Linked DNA regions of Callithrix jacchus. Each later gene encodes a partner of the first gene's protein in a complex. Links are inferred from orthologs where the notes say so. Each region holds a gene or a part of one and is shown in the gene's direction. Other genes may lie near its edges.

What was found. The genes of interacting proteins can lie anywhere in the genome.
Region 2: the proteins of POLR1B (region 1) and POLR1E are in contact, whole or in part, in a cryo-EM structure (PDB 8A43), measured with the Homo sapiens proteins. The link is inferred for Callithrix jacchus from reciprocal best matches to the Homo sapiens genes POLR1B and POLR1E. Residues at the interface, in NP_061887.2 of Homo sapiens: Lys254, Ser258, Phe259, Ser260, Tyr262, Gln263, Gln266, Ser295, Thr296, Gln297, Ser338, Thr340, Glu341, Ala532, Cys535, Pro541, Ile542, Asp543, Gly544; in NP_071935.1 of Homo sapiens: Gln27, Ser29, Asn30, Gly31, Tyr69, Thr76, Leu79, Lys80, Cys81, Leu84, Cys85, Met109, Gln110, Pro111, Leu112, Phe113.
Region 3: the proteins of POLR1B (region 1) and POLR1C are in contact, whole or in part, in a cryo-EM structure (PDB 7OBA), measured with the Homo sapiens proteins. The link is inferred for Callithrix jacchus from reciprocal best matches to the Homo sapiens genes POLR1B and POLR1C. Residues at the interface, in NP_061887.2 of Homo sapiens: Arg713, Gln715, Lys761, Ala762, Glu765, Arg766, Gly767, His770, Tyr774, Gly816, Val848, Arg872, Pro874, Glu900, Asp901, Phe904, Glu906, Gly908, Lys967, Gly970, Tyr971, Asn972, Phe973, Tyr974, Arg978, Tyr980, Ser981, Gly982, Ile983, Ser984; in NP_976035.1 of Homo sapiens: Ala70, Asn74, Arg77, Arg78, Leu81, Ala82, Gln102, Asp103, Glu104, Ile105, His108, Leu112, Lys220, Asp221, His222, Ala223, Thr230, Ser232, Tyr233, Arg234, Leu235, Asp281, Thr282, Phe283, Ser284, Glu286, Arg289, Arg301.
Region 4: POLR1B (region 1) and POLR2H share a complex: the UniProt entries of both Homo sapiens proteins name them as parts of the pol I pre-initiation complex. The link is inferred for Callithrix jacchus from reciprocal best matches to the Homo sapiens genes POLR1B and POLR2H.

The regions. Positions count from the first base shown.
Region 1 is NC_133515.1:22,047,462-22,051,551, reverse strand, and holds part of POLR1B (DNA-directed RNA polymerase I subunit RPA2), read left to right. Parts: intron 1-49; coding exon 50-182; intron 183-309; exon of another isoform or gene 310-707; intron 708-1,744; coding exon 1,745-1,881; intron 1,882-2,649; coding exon 2,650-2,873; intron 2,874-3,518; coding exon 3,519-3,690; intron 3,691-4,090. UniProt on the Homo sapiens protein: Catalytic core component of RNA polymerase I (Pol I), a DNA-dependent RNA polymerase which synthesizes ribosomal RNA precursors using the four ribonucleoside triphosphates as substrates.
Region 2 is NC_133502.1:144,457,974-144,462,763, forward strand, and holds the start of POLR1E (DNA-directed RNA polymerase I subunit RPA49), read left to right. Parts: upstream 1-1,843; 5' UTR 1,844-1,943; coding exon 1,944-2,019; intron 2,020-2,597; coding exon 2,598-2,701; intron 2,702-3,774; coding exon 3,775-3,851; intron 3,852-4,790. UniProt on the Homo sapiens protein: Component of RNA polymerase I (Pol I), a DNA-dependent RNA polymerase which synthesizes ribosomal RNA precursors using the four ribonucleoside triphosphates as substrates.
Region 3 is NC_133505.1:51,998,306-52,002,888, forward strand, and holds the start of POLR1C (DNA-directed RNA polymerases I and III subunit RPAC1), read left to right. Parts: upstream 1-1,636; 5' UTR 1,637-1,659; coding exon 1,660-1,728; intron 1,729-1,855; coding exon 1,856-1,927; intron 1,928-3,867; coding exon 3,868-3,975; intron 3,976-4,250; coding exon 4,251-4,383; intron 4,384-4,583. Other genes in the region: protein YIPF3, read right to left, coding at 153-259, 431-640, 1,274-1,354. UniProt on the Homo sapiens protein: DNA-dependent RNA polymerase catalyzes the transcription of DNA into RNA using the four ribonucleoside triphosphates as substrates.
Region 4 is NC_133516.1:13,339,941-13,344,827, forward strand, and holds the start of POLR2H (DNA-directed RNA polymerases I, II, and III subunit RPABC3), read left to right. Parts: upstream 1-1,940; 5' UTR 1,941-2,062; coding exon 2,063-2,135; intron 2,136-3,689; coding exon 3,690-3,773; intron 3,774-3,856; coding exon 3,857-3,950; intron 3,951-4,887. Other genes in the region: CLCN2 (chloride channel protein 2), read right to left, coding at 6-71. UniProt on the Homo sapiens protein: DNA-dependent RNA polymerase catalyzes the transcription of DNA into RNA using the four ribonucleoside triphosphates as substrates.

The DNA.
Region 1 (4,090 bases):
TACAGTCATGTATCTTTGTTTAACAAATTGTAATTTATCTCTTTGGTAGGAAATGGGGGGCTATTTTATAATCAATGGCATTGAAAAGGTCATCCGAATGTTGATTATGCCTCGGAGAAATTTTCCCATTGCAATGATAAGACCAAAATGGAAAACCAGAGGGCCTGGTTATACTCAGTATGGTAAGTTCTGGAGATTACTAGAATGTTTTTTAAGGAAAATTTAAAACCTTTTTTTTTTAAGTAGATGCATTTAAATAGTCTTTGATAATTTTCTTTTTTCTTTCTTTTCTTATTTTTCCTGAGATAGAGTCTCACTCTGGCACCCAGGCTGGAGTGCAGAGTGGTGTGATCACAACTCGCCATGGCCTCGACCTTCACAGGCTCAGGTGATCCTCCCACCCCAGCCTTCCAAGTAGCTGGGACCACAGGCATGTGCCACCATGCCTGGCTAATTTTGTAGAGATGGAGTTTCACCATGTTGCCAGGCTGATCTCGAACTCTTGGGCTCAAGCAGTCCTTCCGCCTCAGCCTGCCAAAGTGCTGAGATTACATGTGTAAGCCACCATGCCTGGGCTTTCTTTTGTTTTTTGGGTTTTTTTTTGTTTTTTTCTACTGAGCATTCCTGTGTTAAGTTTTCGTAATGGGGATGGAAGAAGAAATGGAGAGATGTTAGTCAGAGGATACAAACTTGCAGTTACAAGACGAGTAAGTTCTGGGGATCTGATGTACAGCCTGGTGACGACAGTAATACCGTATTGCTTACTTAAAATTTGATGAGTAAATTTTAGGTGTCTCAACCACACACACGTGCATACATACAAATGATAACTATGGGTGGTGATTGATGTTTTTATCAGTTTGATTGTGGAAATCATTACATGTATATGTATATTCAAGGTATTGTCCACTTTGAATATATATGATTTTTATCAATTATAAGCATTTTAAAAAATACAAAAATTTCACGGTAGAAAACCTGCTATTATGTTTTACCTGTGCAAACTGAAAGAGCATGTGTATTTTTGTTATTGCTTATGAAGATGAAGGCTAGTCTGCCTTGGCCATAGGTGAATGTGGGTCTTAGATGTCTTCAGGTTCAGGCCACTGTGGCACACCCCTCAGGGTCTCTGTCTGACAGCCACCTGGCCTCTGTTTGAGCACTCTCTGTGACAGTGCTTAAGATAGCATGTTGCATTCTTGAGCTGCCTTGAAAGTTAAACAATTTGTCCTGATAGTTGAGCTAAAAATCAGATTTTAATTGTAGTAATACGTACTGTACCTAGAAAAAGAGCATGTCAGAATGTCTAGTCATTTTCTTTTGCCTGAGTTGATAGTGGTATGTCTTAGCAGTCTTTGCCTGAAACTGAAATAAACTTAAAATCTAAAATTCTACTTTTCTCCATTGGCACTATTAGATCAAACACCGTGTCTTGACCAGACTCCACAGTTTAAGAGGGATATAAAGTGCTAAAAGATGTGGACTCTGTCCTGGAGGAAAACTTTGAAGTTTGCTTAAATTCATAGCTTCAGTTATTTTACAGTAGTGTTTCTCAATCTGGGTAGATTTTGCATGCAAGAGGACATTTGCTAAGTTTTAGAAACATTTTTGATTGCCATTCTTGGCTAAACTTAATGATTTGGCTTTAATTGTGTGTAAGGAGGTAAGATTGTTCAGGAAAAAAATGATTGAAGCAATTATAGAATCACTGAGTTTCTGATTTTTTTGTTGTTCGGTTCAATAGGAGTTTCAATGCACTGTGTGAAAGAAGAACATTCTGCTGTCAATATGAACCTCCACTACTTGGAAAATGGCACTGTTATGTTGAACTTTATTTACCGGAAAGAACTGTTTTTTCTTCCTTTGGGATTTGCACTTAAGGTATGACTTAATGAATGCATTCTTTTGTTATGAAGAATTCATTGAAGGTAGTATCCTGTGCAGATGGGATGTATTCTTCTTATTAAAATAACATACTAGTTATCTACTGCTCCAAAACAGATTACCTCAAAATTCAATACCTTAAAACATCAATAAACATTTCTGTCTCACAGTTTCTGTGGGTCAGGAGTTTGAGAGTGCTTTGGCTGGACATCTGTGAACCGGGGTCTCAGGAAGTTGCATTGAGATGTCAGACAGGACTGCAGTCATTTTGAGGACTTCCAAGGTGGCTCACTCACATGGTTGGCAAATCAGTGCTGGTTGTTGGCAGGTGGTCTTCTCATGGGGTTGCTGTCTATATGGCCCTTTCTATAGGCTGTTTGAGACAGCTGTCTTCTTCCACGTAGTTAGCTGAGAGAACAGAGCAGAAGATGCAGAAGGCAAAAGCTGCAATGCCCTTTGTGACCTAGCCCTGGAGTCTCCCATCATCTTTTCCACCACATTCTCTTGGTCAAGCAGTCCAGCCTTGATTCAGCATGTGAGGAAACTACACGTTTATGAACACCAAGAGGTGAAGAGCCTGGAGGCCATATTGCTGTCTGTCTATCATACAAAGAATGCTTTATTTAGAGTTTTCTTTGGTTCAGCATTAGCAGAGTGCTAATTTCCTTGGGTATTAAAAAAGAGAAGATAATTGTTACTGAATAGATGAAATATTTTAGTTATTAGTGAGAAATTAAAAAGAAAACCTTTTATTTTCTGTTCTAGGCACTTGTCAGCTTTTCCGATTATCAGATCTTTCAGGAGCTCATCAAAGGAAAAGAGGATGATTCTTTCTTTAGAAACTCTGTTTCTCAGATGTTAAGGATTGTAATGGAAGAGGGTTGTTCCACACAGAAACAGGTCCTTAACTATCTAGGTGAATGCTTCAGAGTAAAGCTCAATGTTCCTGACTGGTACCCAAATGAGCAAGCTGCGGAGTTCCTGTTTAAGTATGTGTGCTTTGCCTGAACTGTTTCCGAAGGGGCAGAGGGCTGTCAGTGGTTCTTTGTATTCGTTGCAGTTTGGGTGGGTGAGTCATCTGGGAATGAGAATGGATCTTGGGGTAGAATTCTGGTCCTTGCTAGCTGGGGGCTGCCTTTGATTTTGTGGCTGTTCTCACCTTTATTTTTTTAGTAGTTGTGTTTTATTTTATTGTCCCAACTTTTATTTTGAAATCATTTCTGACATCCAGAATAATGTCCAAATAGTACATTGGACTCATATTCACAAATTGTGAACATTTCATTAACTTACATTTGCTTTTTTACTTGCTGTATACCCAGATGTACATTTTTCTTTCTGTACTGTTTGAAAGTTGCAGGCCTTGTGTCTTTATTTCTTCAAAGCAAGGACTTTGTCTTATATAACCACTGTGTAATTACTAAAGGAGCCAGCTCCATACCAGTGCTGTCCAGTACGCAGACACACGCCGCATGATGAGCACTTCAAATGTGGCCAGTGCAGGTCAAAAACTGAATGCTTAATTTTATTTAATTAAAGTTAAGTAAGCATGAATTAGCGGTCTTGGTTAATAGAGCATTAAGTAGTATTACCAACTAGATTGTTTTAAGCTTTCTTTTTTTCTATTTTGACAGCCAGTGCATCTGTATCCACTTGAAATCCAATACTGAAAAGTTTTATATGCTTTGTCTTATGACACGAAAGCTCTTTGCTTTAGCCAAAGGAGAGTGCATGGAGGACAATCCTGATAGTTTAGTGAACCAAGAAGTCCTTACACCGGGTCAGCTCTTCCTTATGTTTCTGAAGGTAAGTGCGTACCGTATCCACCCTTGGCCCGTGGTACCACTTGTGGAATGGTGTGACTGTCCGGCTGTACTGTTTTCTGCATGTTTATAGTTCCTAGTTTTGGCATCTTGCGTGGTCTCTTTTTGTGTATTCATTTAACAGTAAGGGAATCAAAAATCCTAGCTTTCACCAGGTTTGGAAATTTGCTTAAGAGTTTTATATAAAGACCATATCAAATCTTGGTCATAGTGTTAATGATAAAAAGCAAGTGGCCTGTATTCAGACATGTGGTTGATCCTCATTATTTGTAGGTTCTGTGTGAATGCACTCACTGACTAAAATTTATTTGTGACCCTAATATCACTTCTTGGTGCTTTCATGATTATTCACACACATGACAGAGCAGTGAAGAATTTGAGTC
Region 2 (4,790 bases), on another chromosome or scaffold:
TTGCCGTTCAGTGGAATGCATCTTTGGGCAGGGTCCTCGGCCAGGGTCCATGGTTAAAGGCCCTGCTTTCGCCCTTTTTCTGCTCTGAAAACTCCCCGTGCAGAAGAAGGGTTGAATCGGCAGTGAAAAAGGGACATGTCCATCAGCTCAGACTCTTCTATCCCACTTCAGGATCTCCTGCCCAAATGCTCTGGGTTTGCTGGGCTTCTGTTCCTTCACCTCAGGGTTGATTGGGACACAGGTGTGCCCGCCACGGCCCACGGTGGGGAGCTGTTGGCCAGACTGTGGACTGTGGGTAACACCCCCCCAGAGCCACCAAGGAAGGAGAAATGTGCAGACCCCAGGCACAATTAGTGCCTGAAGTATAACTCGCTGCTTACTTAGTCCCATATAACCTTTCTATATAATCATATACTAATTTACTGCTTACTATATCTAGCTTATATATATAATCATACTTAGTTCCATATAATCTTTCTATATAATCATATAGGTATTGTAGTCAGAGCTGTACTGACACATTAAGGGCTGATTTATAGAATCCTTCTATATAACCATATAGTAGTTTATAGTAGAAGGAATGCCTACAGCAGTCACAGAACAGAAGCAGTACATGGGAAAACAGCCAGACCAGGACAAGAACCAAAGACCCAGGTGGCGTCCCTGCCTCAAAGGTCATACGCTGTATGGCAGGCTTGGAGCAAGAGCCTCTCCTCCTGATAAAGGAGTTGTAGCACCTTGCATCCAGTTCCTGTGGAAAGTAGGCCTCTGGCCTGAGATCCTGCAAATAATCGAGGGAGAAGAACCCCTCTGATGTGACTAGTCACAATGGCTGTACACCCCGTCAGCCTTTTCTCGCTTCTGTGTTAGCTCAAATCAGCCTCCCATAAATATCTTAAGAGAAGAGCACAAGTCTGTCAGCTCCCACTGCATTGGCTTACAGTATCTTACTATTAGAAATCCTTTGACTCTCCAGCCCCCAGATAAGAAGTGCCGCCACAACACCTGTTGCACACAGCCCACCTCCTTGCCACGGTAACCTAATGGGGGTGGACCCCTTTTCTGTACATGACCCTCTACTACTGCGCACGGCCCACCTCTCTGCCCAGATGACATAATGGGGTGGTCCTCTCGCTTGCGACTCACGTGATTATGTAGGCCCTATCACTAAGCCTATAGATAATGACCTAATTTACGACCCTTCCCCCTGCTTGTACCTAATAAATACAGACGCTTCTAAGCGTTCCGGCCTTCGCCTGCCTCCCCTCATAGGTGGCATGGCCCCATGAGTCCAGATACTCTTCACCAGTTCTTCAGTGTCCTGTCTCTTTACTTCTTGGATCCTGCACTTCAGCACAACATAAGGGACACCTCACAACCCTGTGGGGCCCAACAGCCCTACAGTGGACAAAGCTTGTACCTAGAGCTGGATCTCCTCGTGTGCAGGTGGGAGGCTCTCCAGATGGTTCTTCGCCAGCGGCCACATTTAGTTGGGGGTCAAGCAGTTCCGATCAGAGAATTCTAAATTTGAACTTGGTCTTTCAGGTTTTGGGAAGATGTGTTTGTCACGGTAGGAGAGAGAGAGAGACTATTCTCTCTGTAGACGGTGCTGAGCGGGAAGAAAGCCCACGGGAAGCTTAGACTGAAGCTGCAGGACCCTTTGGCTCCTCGGCCTCTGGACCTACAAAACCCAGAGTGGCGGCGAGCGCTGAGCCAATCAGGTGCTGCGCCTCGGCCGGCCGTGCGGGGGGTGTGGCACCGTGTAAGCGGAAACCACGCCTCTCTACGCGGGGGGCGGGGCACGTGTCTCGCGCACCTTGGGCAGTGCCCGGCGGAACCACGCCTTTTCCGCTAGCCGCGCGGCCTGGGCTTCCCTCGTGTTTAAAAGAGCTCTTGTGGCTGCTGCTATCTTAACTCCTGTGCTTGGAGGCCAGACAGTCGAGATGGCGGCAGAGGTGTTGCCGAGTGCGAAGTGGCTGTATTGTGGGGCGCCCGCTGGAAGCCAGAGAGCTGTACTGGGTAAAGACGGCGGATCTGGAGCAGAGCTCCTCTAACCCTCTCCCCTTTCGTCTCGGTGCCTCAGCTGCCCTCTCGCCCTCTGTTGGGCCCCTCCCAGCGGGGCCAGGACCCCACTAGTCTCCACCATTCTCTTGGGCTCGGTCAGGGCTCCCCTCTGAAACTGCCGTCTTTCTGTCACTACCTCCCACCGGATAGGAATATCCCAGGCACCCGCTCTCCAGGACTGTGTCCAGGACCCTGCTGTCCCCTCACCCACCAGGTCTCCCACCTCCCCCATTTCCCTCTCTTCACTGGGCAGGGGTTCTTTCTGTCACTTTAGGTGTGGACCAGGCCTTTGCTGCCAGGCTCCCTCGCCCAGACATTCATTCCCTCTTGTCACAGCCCCTCCCCAGGGTTCTCACACCTCCCTACCCTCTCTTCTCAGCTGGCCCGGATCTCCTCCATTTCCCTTGAGGTCAGGACCCAAGCTTCCTTGCCATCCCCATTCCGACACTCCCTCCCTCCCAGTGACAGTCTAGTCCCGCCATACATTATGTGTTCTTCTGCTCTCATCTTATTCTTGGGCTACACTCTTACAGTCCAGTTCTCCAACGGGAGGCTGCAGAGTCCAGGCAACATGCGCTTTACCTTGTATGAGAACAAAGATTCCACCAACCCCAGGAAGAGGAATCAACGGATCCTGGTAAGTGCATTAGTTGCCAGGTGCCTCCACCCTGGGAGTGTGTGGATATGGGAAGGAGTGAGGGGAGGAAAAAGGGAGTAGCAAAAGGACCTTTGAAGAACTCTGATGCCCAGCAACTTGGGATGTGGGGACAAACTCCATCTTTCATTCATTCATTTGTTCTTTCAACAAGCATTTATGGAACCCCCTCCGTTCCCTGTGCTGCAAGCTTCTAGGGAAACAGCCAAATCAGGCCTGGCCCCACTCGGAGGAAGTTCGTACTCTAGAGCAGGGTTTCTCAACCTCAGGACTATTGACATTTTGGGCCAATAATTGTTCATTGTGGGGACAGTATCCCTGGTCTCTACGCACTAGCACTAGAGTGGATTTCCCTGGATTGAGAAGCTCAGCTCTAGAGAGATGAGAACTGGCTGTGAGAGACACTTTTACACAAAGCTCTGAGGCCACGTGGGAAGAGTACAGAGCAGAGTGAGCTCAGTGGGAGGAGAGGTCTCTGCCAGAATGCCTTCCTTGGGGAGGGCATGTTGGAGCTGAACCTCGAAGAACGAAATGAGAATTTGGCGGTCAAGGTTTGATGTTCCAAGTGGAAAGTATAGTGAGGATAAATGCAGAGAAGCAGGAAAGCTTGCTTATGATTGGGAAGTGAGTCAGCCATGGTCTTGAGTGTATATAAAGAATAGTCATGGGAGAGATGGGCAAAGAAGATCAAAAAGGGCTTGGACTTTGGGCCAAAGAGAGATTGCTGACAGAATCACTTTGTTGCATACCTCTAAGTGCTAGAAGCCCAGGGCCTCTCTCTCAAGTCCTGTGGTAGAATTCCCCCAAGAGCTTTTCATACCATTTAGAAGCTAGCAATATCTGAGGCTTCTCTTTCAAAAGTCATCTTGCTTTCCCTCCAGGGACATCCCGTATTGCCTTAGAGATAGTGGGGCTGGATCATCTGCCAGAGATGAACTAGTTCTAATCCATTGTGGGTCTGGATTCTAAAGCTTCAGCAAATGTAGAAAAGAGAGATGATGCTTAATACCTTTCAACATTGGTTGTAAATGGAGTTTCCCCTCTCTGCATTATAGGCAGCTGAAACAGATAGGCTTTCCTATGTGGGAAACAATTTTGGGACTGGAGCCCTCAAATGCAACACTTTGTGCAGGTAATGGCAGGGGAAGGGACAGTGGGAAGGGAGTGGTGGCAGCATTGGCACTGCTGTTTCCAGTCTGTTTTAGGGGCAGTAGAAGAAATCTAGAGAGGTTTACTAGATGATCCCTGTGTTCTTCGTAGACCCAGAGCCTTCCCCTCCCAGCCTATAGACATTACTATAAAGAAAAGAGAACTTAAATTTCCTAAAAACCTCATTCATTTGTAACCTTGTTTATTTATAGCTGTCTTATTCCAAAAGGCAGCTCTCTCCATTAATTTGGAATGTGTGACTAGGTCAAAGCTTGTGTGAAGTTTACCTGGGAACTAATGACAGGTAAAGAACTTGGTAGTGTTGAAGGATCTGGGCTGGGAAAGAGGAACCTGGGATTCCTGTCCAGCTGTGCTGCTGATTGACTGAGTGGCTGGGCAACTCTGCCCATCACTAACCCCTAGTCTTCTCCTCTGTACAATGAAGATTGTCCAGCCAGAACTGTGTAACTCTCGGGTGCTGGCGTGATGAAGACAGGGCCCCGTGATGGCACCCAGCGATGAAACACAAACCAGGCCCTTTCAGAGCCCTGCTAAACCATACTCCAGTAGAGGTCAGATTGGTGTATACATGCTCTGAACTATAACCTGCACTCTCCCCTCTCAAAGATGCTCTAGTTCGGATTGATCTCCTCCGCATTTACTTGGTTTTGCCACCGTAAAACTGGTGTGCCATAAATTCTAGTGTAATTCTAGATTCCTACACCCCAAAAGAGCTTTTCATTATTGTACAGCAGCAAGCCCAAATGTGATCAACTACCAGAATTACCTGGTAGCTTTTTTTTTTCCCCCAGGACTACCTCATGTCCCCCGATCCCATCCCATCCCATCCTTTCCTTTTCCCTCTCCCTGCAGAGAATTGCTTTGGGATAGAGGGAAGGGGAGATTATTGTTACCCATGAGT
Region 3 (4,583 bases), on another chromosome or scaffold:
GCTGTGTTATGATTATTTGTGTTCAATGACAGGTGCAGTGATGAGAGGTGATGAGGTCACGAAGAGGGGGAGCCCACCAGAGCACAGGGCTTGTAGAGTGCATGAAGGAGTAGGTATTAGGAGGGAAGCTTCTTCAAGAGAAGGCTCCTCACCTGCTTCGCACCTGGGCAGGCTCCACATCAAAGTAGGGTCTCAGGATGTCGATGTTGGCATACAAGCTGAAGGCCCTGGAGGCTTGTCTCTTCCCAGCCTGCCACATCTGAAGGAAGATGGGCATAGGTATTGTGGAACTCTTGGCATTAGACCCTGTTGCCTATTTTCCATTTGATTTCTACCAGGACAACCTGGGGCGACACACCAATACCAACTCCAGGACATGGGACACACCTAGGTTTACTTTTCCACCTGCAGGGGATTCCATCTTGCTTACCTGATCAGCCACCTGCCGGCTCAGCTGTCCCTTAAAGCCCTTCATGCCCAGGAACTCTCCATCCTCTTCTTCAGCAGCAGCCGCATCAGCGTCTGCATCAGCGTCTACTTCTTCCTCGCGCAGGCGCTGATGCAGTTCACCCATATCCTCGAAGCTAGAGCCTGAGGTATCATCCATGTTCTCCATGTCAATCACAGCTGAGCCTCCGCCCTGTTAAGACAATGGCTCCTAGAGTGCAGGACTTTTCTGTTCCATCCATTAAGTCCTCTGCTCATCCCAGGGCTTAGGGCTTTGTTCTTCCACTGCTGAGGATACGGCTTGGAATCACTACAGATCATGCCACTCCATTCCCCCTCATTTGCTCTCAGAACGCTTGATTTATAGCTTTGGCTATCTTTTCTAGCCTGGGAAACCAACTAGTCTTCCATTCATGTCTTTCTCCTACCTTACCTATCAAAGACTAAAAGCTTGAAAAAGAATCCATTTCTGTCTTTCCAAAGCCCCAAACAAAACTATGAACACAGTATGTTTTCGGCGAGTGCCAGTGAATCCCACCCAACCCCACTCCAGGCCTGACCCCAACCAACCTCCTAACTTGTTCCAAGAATACGTTCTTCCTAACGCCTCGGGCGGGCCCAGAGACCCGAGATCCTCAGGCTGGAGTAGTAGACTAGTCTGGCCCTTTCAGGTCAATGTTAACTCCACTGACTTTTGTGTGCAAGACCCAAAGAAGGCAGTTTTGCAAATGGAGTGAACTTCCAGGCCCCGAGGGAGAATCCCCAAGACACTTCTGGACATCGCCGGCCCTCGGGTTGCTGGCATCTGGTGCCTTGGGGCCATTACCTGGATGTTTTCTTCGAACCCTCCCCATTCCGGGCCAGCTCCGTTTCGGGCGCCGCCCGTCGGCGCCGCTGTAGTTGCCATGCCCTTTGAGGGCTCCCGTCGCTGAAGCCCGCGATAGCCCCGCGCGCAGGGAAGTGTGCGAGATGTGAGTCCCAAGAAGGGAGAGGTCCCAGGTCGCGGAGAGGTGGGATCAGCCGGAACACAAAAAGGAGAAACCCGGATGTTTGGACAAAACCAACTTCCGGAAATTGGGGACGTGGATGAAGGTGGAGCAAAGTCTCGCGATATTTAAGATTCCAGGAGGCGGTGCGTTGCCACGGAGATGGAGCAGTGCTGCTAGAACGCACGCGCCAGCTAGAGCCTGTAGTCTTTTGGAGAGATTGAACATGGCGGCTACTCAGGCCGTGGAAGAAATGCGGAGCCGCGTGGTTCTAGGAGAGTTTGGGGTTCGCAATGTAAGACTTGTGTCCTTGAGCTCAGGCGGGAGGAATGAGAGCGGAACAGGGATGGGTCTTGGGATTGGCGTGGGGATAGCCGTAGGCTCACTGTCCATTTGTGGACAAACTCATCCCTTTGCTCTAGGTCCATACCACTGACTTTCCCGGTAACTATTCCGGTTATGATGATGCCTGGGACCAGGAACGCTTCGAGAAGGTCAGTGGGGCCAGAGTTGTCCGGGGATTGTTAGGAGGGCCAGACCCTGTGGTCTCAGCAGCATGTGTCTGTCTCAGTAGCTGCTCTTGGGGGTCGCTCCGTTTGTAAGTTTTGTTGAGCAATGTGGTAGACCTCCGTTTACAGGCCAAGTTAGACACAGTTTCTACCCAGTTCTGCAAACAAGATGTTCAGTCTTGTTGAGGAATGGTGCGTATAAACAAGTGAATCTAGTTTAATATGGTAAAGGTGGTTGATAGCTGTGAAGATGGCAGGATTCGTGTGGGGAACATTATGCTGAGACCAGGAAGAGGGGCCCAGAGGTACTTAACATTTCTTGAGGAGGGAAGATCTGAATTGAGCTTTGAACGGTAAGTAAAGAACAGGAGTTAAATTAGGAAGGCTTTGAGTTTCAGGTCAGTGAAGTTGAGGATATACAGGTTTTGTGTGTATTTAGTCTATTATTGTTTCACTTAGCTTAAAATAAGGATTAAAATTGCATTTAAATAGATCACTGAATGTTACTGTTTATGCAACTGAACTGTGTGTGCAGTTTATAAAACATGATCTATAAATCTGTGCTTGGGAAAATTTTACTTTTTTTAACCTGTTGATACAGGAATAAAGTATGAACAATGAAAAAGGCTAATGCTTGAAAAAAAGTTATGGTGTGAATTGTGCTCCGGGAATGTCCAAGCAGTTCTGGCACTAGTGGTAGGCAAGATTGAAGTGTGTCTTGGGCACTGTTGATGATAGGGAGCTTGAATAGTTAAGCAGACATGATTAGATTTGCAACCCTGATAGCTGGGAGGGAATGAGTTTGAAGAGGATCGTATGGAGCAGGCAGATCTGTTGTAAGGGAAGCTGAGGTTGAAGGTATGAACTAAGACTGACGGTAGAAAGAGAGCAAAGGAAGAAAGAAGGTAAATTTGTGATTGCTTTGGTAAAGGCTGTTGGGGTAGCATAAAATGACTTTTTGACTTGGGAACTGCTTTGATGCATTGTGGTATCATTTACTGAGAGAAGAAATGGGTCTGGGGAAGAGGAATGATGATACGTCGTTTCCTGCATTTGGAGAAATCTAGCAGGCTAGAAGACTGCATATTTGAAATGAGATCAGAAGGGAGGTAAAATTTTGGGAGGTGTCAGCACAGATAGTTGCTAAAACCGTTGTTAGTGTGGTTAAGGTCACCTGGGAGAGAGACCAGAACCTGGTAGATTTAGAGATGGGTGGACGTTGTTGATCATCAGAGAAGGAAGAATGGAGCTCAGAAGCCAGGAGAATAGTTCAAAAAAGGAGGGGATTTTTTTTTTTTTTTTTTGAGATGGAGTCTCTGTTGCTCAGGCTGGAGTGCAGTGGCAGGATATCAGCTCACTGCAACCTCTGCCTCTTGGATTCAGGCAGCTCTCCTGTCTCAGCCTCCTGAGTAGCTGGTATTACAGGTGCACACCACCATGGCCGGCTAGTTTTTTGTATTTCTAGTAAAGATGAGGTTTCACCATGCCAGTCTCGAACTCCTGACCTCGTGATCCAACCACCTTGGCCTTCCAAAATGCTGGGATTACAGGCATGAGCCATTGCGCCTTTCCAGGAGGGGATTTTTTTAATCAATGCCAGGCGTAACAGACGTCTAGTAAAAGGACTGTCTAGTGTCAGCATGACTAAGCAGTGAGGTGGGTTTCTGTTCTTAGGACAATAGCTTCTGTGGATGGTTTGGTTGGGAGCCATATTGGATAGGGTTTTAATGAATGGAAGACAAAAAATGGACACTTTTCATGAACCTAAAGCAAGCACTGGACGAGAAAGAACATTTAATAAGGGACGTCTGGGCAAAGGGTGGTTTTTGGATGAGTGGATAATACTTGGAATCATCTGAGGGGGAGGTATGAAGAGCTATTACAAAGAGAGCAGGCTTCACTTAATCTTTTTCCTGTCCCTCTAGAATTTCCGTGTGGATGTGGTACACATGGATGAAAACTCACTGGAGTTTGACATGGTGGGAATTGATGCATCCATTGCCAATGCTTTTCGACGAATTCTGTTAGCTGAGGTATTGGCAGGCATGGTGACAAGGTTGGATTTGCTTTGGGAACTGCACTGACACTTGGAGTGTCACTTGGAGAATTAAGTGTCTCAAGCTGTCCTTCCCTTCTTATTTTTCCTGGAGTTTTGCTGGCTAAGGATTTTACCTTCTCATTCTTTGTAAACTTCTCATTAAACATTCTAGGAAGAGAGATAGCTCCCTACCTCTGGAGGTTGGAGTTTGTGGGGATAGGTAGGGGGTCTATTGGGTTTTTGCTGATAAGTGATTTTTTCCTTGGGCAGGTGCCAACTATGGCTGTGGAGAAGGTCCTGGTGTACAACAACACATCTATTGTTCAGGATGAGATCCTTGCTCACCGTCTGGGGCTCATTCCCATTCATGCTGACCCCCGTCTTTTTGAGTATCGGAACCAAGGTGAGAAAATGAAATTTTGGGAGAAGTGGACTGTCTGGGTTTAAATCCTGGTTGACTGTGACATTGGGTAAGTATATTAGTGTTTTTCATCTGTGAGAACACTTGCCCTCTCTTCCCAAGTTTGCCAAGATAATTAAATGGGAAATATGTAAAGCATTCAGCATAGTGCTGGCACTCAGATATTTACTAGTTCTTAAGAG
Region 4 (4,887 bases), on another chromosome or scaffold:
CTTACCAGGGTCTGCTCGTACTGCAGCGCCCGCGGCTCCATCCCCTCCTCCGCTGCCGCGGCCGACGCCATCTCCCTGCACTGCCCTCTCGCCTCCCTCCGGGGCTCGGGCTCTGCCCTCTACTCGGCTTCCGGCCCGCAGAGTCAGCGCCGGCGGCCGTCCCGTCCCCGCAGCCCGGGAGACCGAGAGCAGAGTGCGGCGGGCCCGGAGCGGGCGCCGCAGGCGCAGCCTCCGGCTCCTGTCCCCTCCTCGGCGGGCGGGCCGAGGGTGGTGCCCTCTGCGCTGCTCCGCCCGCCAGCCCATCCGGAGGGGCCGGCCCAGCCAGGCCGGGGTCCGCGCGGGGCCTCCCGAGAGGCGGTAGGGGGCGCTGAGCAGTCTGGAGCCCGCGCCGGCTCCCTGCGGAGGCCGGGGAAGGAGAGGGGCGCCCGGGGCCGGGCAGGGGCGGGTCCGCGGGCACGTGGAGGGGCCGGGCCGGGTTGGCGGTTCCCTGCGTCCGGGCAGGAGGGGCTGCAGATGCCCGAGCTCCGCAGGGCTCAGGGATGGGGGTGCTGAGTGATCTACATCGGACGCCTCCGGGTCAGCCGGTTAGAAGCCGCTTCCCCTCTCCCCGTCCCAAGGGACTTGCAGCTCTGACAGGCCTGTCAGGGGTGAGCAGCAAAGCTGGGAGGATTCGGGGCGGATCGGGGCCGTCTTCCTTACTCCTTCCTTTCCCGGGGCTGCCCCAGGGAGGTGCACCCGGAGCAACCCGGCCTGCGGGGTGTGCGGGGGTGGAGGTTGGGAGGGCCCCGGAAGGGGTAGGCCGGAGGAGGGGAGCTCCACGGGCCGGGAGTCCACGCCCGGAACGCGGGCGTGGAGAGCAGAGGTCGCTTCTCCCTGGCTGGGCTCAAGGAGGAACCCGAGTCGCTGCTGCTGTCCCTCCGCTTTCGGGGAACGGTCTGCTGGTGCTCGGGGTTCTCTGTCAGGGGCCAGGGAAGGATAGAAAAGAGGGCGGAGCGCGCGCAGGGTGGACGGGCAGCTGAGCGACAGTGTGAGAGGAGCGGGGGCGGCGCCCAGGACGCGGACAGGGTGCGGGAGAGCCAGTAGTACCAGAAGGAAGGGCTATTTGGGAGGCAGAGGCGGGGCTCGGGGGGCGGGGGCAGTGCCCGGGGAGGGGGGGGGGCCCTGGGAGAGAAGCCGCCACCCAGGAGGAAGGGCCAGTGCGAGGGAAGAGCTGGTATTCAAGGGAGAGGGCAGTGCTAGGCCGAAGGGGTACGGAGGGGATCCGTGTCCAGTAAACGGGAACGCAGAGTACCAAGCTGGAGGGGGAGTGCCCAGGGGGCGGGAGCCAGGCTGAAGGGGCGGTGCGCGGGAAAACCAGGGCCTGGGGGAAGAGGGCAGTGTCGTGGGGTGCCGTATGAGGGGAGGGGACCATGCAGCCTTTCCATTTCTCCAAAGCGACGTCATGGCAAATTCCCAAACTGGACGGATCCGGCTCAGGTTACATCCAGAAGGGCCCAGCCGGCCCAGGCCGGCCCCGGCGTCCTTGGTGTCTCCTGGAGGGGCTGGGCACCTCTGGGGCGGGGTTCTTCTCCACCTGCCCTCGGCGAGGACTGTGCCCTTGGCGGGCACGAGGACCGGCGGGATAGGGCTAGGGCCTGGCCGCTCTGGGCCAAGGATCAAGGTCCCTGCCTGGGTTAGGCCCCCACGCATTCCAATCTTCTGGACTCAGACTCTGAAGAGCGCGCAGTAAAGCCCCAGCGTAGCAGAAGCCGCTCTACAGCCGCGGGAGGTTGGACCTATTGTTTCCCCGCCCTGGGCGGAGCCACCTGGCCGTGAGACCCGCCCTCAATGCCGAAGCCTCTCGGAAACAGTCTTTCGGGGAGGAAGTTAGGTAGCCCCGAGAGGAAGATTGTGGCGGAAGTGGTCGCGTTACCGCCTGTTTGTGCGCATGCGCTACTCTTGTCTAGCTGCCGCCTTTCTGGAGGTGCTTTTGCTCATCTCCCTTCTCCACGCGAGGGGGTGCGCGTACTCCCAGCCGTGGTCGCGCGTTAACCCCTTCTGCTGCTCTCCTGGCCCACTTGCGATGGCGGGCATCCTGTTTGAGGATATTTTCGATGTGAAGGATATTGACCCAGAGGGCAAGAAGTTTGACCGAGGTAAGTAAGGTACGAGGTTTGGAGGAAGACGCTAACCTCGCGGACATGTCCCTGGGCCCCATGCCCACCCAGCTCTTGTGGCCTGCTCCTACCAGCAGGTCCTGATGTAGGGACCTCCCTCAGGAAACACTTTATGAATGAGAAAACGGAGACTCAGCTCTCTGGCTTCACGCATGCCGTGCTGGGTGTCTGGATGGCCTTTTGTCATAGTGCTGGCAAACTCCTGAGCATCTTTATAATCGCTGCCTACTCTGTGCTAGACACTGTCTTGTGCGGCTCATACACCCTTTGCCTTACTTATTCTTAAGAGACCTCGGCCGGGCGCGATGACTCACGCCTGTAATCCCAGGACTTTGGGAGGCTGAGGCGGGTGGATCACTTGAGGTCAGGAGTTCGAGACCTGCCTGGCCATCATGGTGAAACCCTGTCTCTACTAAAAATACAAAAATGAGCCGGGTGTGGTGGTGGCGCGCCTGTAATCCCAGCTACTCGGTAGGCTGAGGCGGGAGAATCGCTTGAACCCAGGAGGCTAAAGTTGTGGTGAGCCAAGATCGAGCCACTACACTCCAGCCTGGGCGGCAGAGCCAGACTCCATTAAAAAAAAAAAAAAAATTATATATATATACGCTAAGCAGTTAACTAGTTAACTCTCAGAAAAGACTTCACTAAGCGCTAAAGATTCTGAGAGCGATACAAGAATATAGACTCTGAAGTTAGATTACTTGCTGTGCAGCCTTGGGTGAGTTACTCAAACTCTCAGAGAAAAACAGGGAAGGCACCACCCACCTCATGAAGACTCCTTTTTTTTTTTTTGAGATGGCGTCTCACTTTGTCACTCACACTGACTGGAGTGCAATGGTGTGATCTCGGCTTACTGCAACCTCTGCCTTCTGGATTCAAGCAATTCTCTTGCCTCAGCCTCCCAAGTAGCTGGGATTACAGGTGCCTGCCACCACACCCAGCTCGTTTTTGTATTTTTGGTAGAGATGGGGTTTCACCATGTTGGCCAGGCTGGTCTCCAACTCCTGACCTCCAGTGATCCACCTGCGTTAACCTCCCACAGTGCTGGGATGACAGGTGTGAGCCACCGCGCCTAGTCTCCATTTCTTTATTTTGTCATTGATCAATAATTTTCTCTTTGGTGTCTGTTTCTTTGCCTAGAGACTCAGATGTTTTTCAAGATGGATACCAGTCATTATACATCTTGATAACCCCCTCAGCACAGTGCCTAGCACAGAAAGAGGAAACCTTTGGATGATTCAATAACTTGCCCAGAGTCAGGTTCTCAGCCATCCAGGCAGGCCTAGAACCTGGATATTATTTGCTGCTGGAGTATCTTTAGTTGTTTTCTGGGGATTACGTTCACTTGCCACAGTTTTTCTCCTGATTTCCTCCTTGCATATCTGGGTCTGACTGAGCCTGCCTTAGAGGACATGAGAGACCAGTGGATGTAGGCTGGGTTAGATTGAGTATTCTGTTGCATACAATCCCACACTGTAGGATCTTCCCTGGGCCTGGCAATACCTCTCTTACTCTTTTTCCACTTTTCCCCAGTGTCTCGGCTACATTGTGAGAGTGAATCTTTCAAGATGGATCTCATCTTAGATGTAAACATTCAAATTTACCCTGTAGACTTGGGTAAGTATTGAACACAGACAATAATAAGAGGCTATTTGCTGCTTCAGCTATTCTTCACTCTCTGATATTGCTGTTATTTTTAGGTGACAAGTTCCGGTTGGTCATAGCTAGTACCTTGTATGAAGATGGCACCCTGGATGATGGTGAATATAACCCCACTGATGACAGGCCTTCCAGGTGAGGGAGTGGAGAAGGTGATACTTGAAATATGCCCTGAGGACTAAGTAGATAAGTGATATAGAAAGACTCTTCTGGCGGGGCACAGTGGTTCATGCCTGTAATCCCAGCACTTTGGGAGGTGGATCATGAGGTCAGGAGTTTGAGACCAGCCTGGGCAACATGGTGAAACCGCGTCTCTACTAAAATACAAAAAATTAATTGGGCATGGTGGTGGGCACCTGCATAGTCCCAGCTACTCAGGAGGCTGAGGCAGGAGAATTGCTTGAACCCAGGAAGCAGAGGTTGCAGTGAGCAGAGATTGGACCACTGAGTTCCAGGCTGGGCAACAGAACAAGACTCTGTCTCCAAAAAAAAGAAAAACGAAAGACTCTTCTTTAATTCCTAGAATAAATAATGATTAGCAGAATCTGAGTAACCTTAAGGAAATTTCTGCACTTAAGAATTCAAACAGACCAGGTACTATGGCTCACACATGTAATTCAAGCACTTTGGGAGGCTGAGTCAGGAGGATTGCTTGAGTCCAGGAGTTCAAGAGCAACCTGAGCAACATAGTGAAACCTCACTGCTACAAAAAAAAAAAAAAGCTGACCATGGTGGCATGTGCCTGTAGTTCCAGCTACCTGGGAAGCCAAGGTGGGAGGATTGCCTGAGCCAGGGAGATTGAGGCTGCAGTGAGCCACGATCATGCTACTGCACTCCAGCCTGAGCAACAGAGCAAGACCCTGTCTCAAAAAAAAAAAAAAGATAAAAAATTTCAAACAACCAGGTATTTATAACAGTGATTACATGCTTGTGAGTTGTAGCTTTTTGAAGGCTGAGAAGATGACCGCTCTGTGGGTCTTGTGTCTTGGGAGGGAGTTTGGTGTAATGGAAAGGCTTTGGCACCCCGCTCGAGTTGATTTCTGAGCTCTACCACTTACTTGCTAAGTAAGCT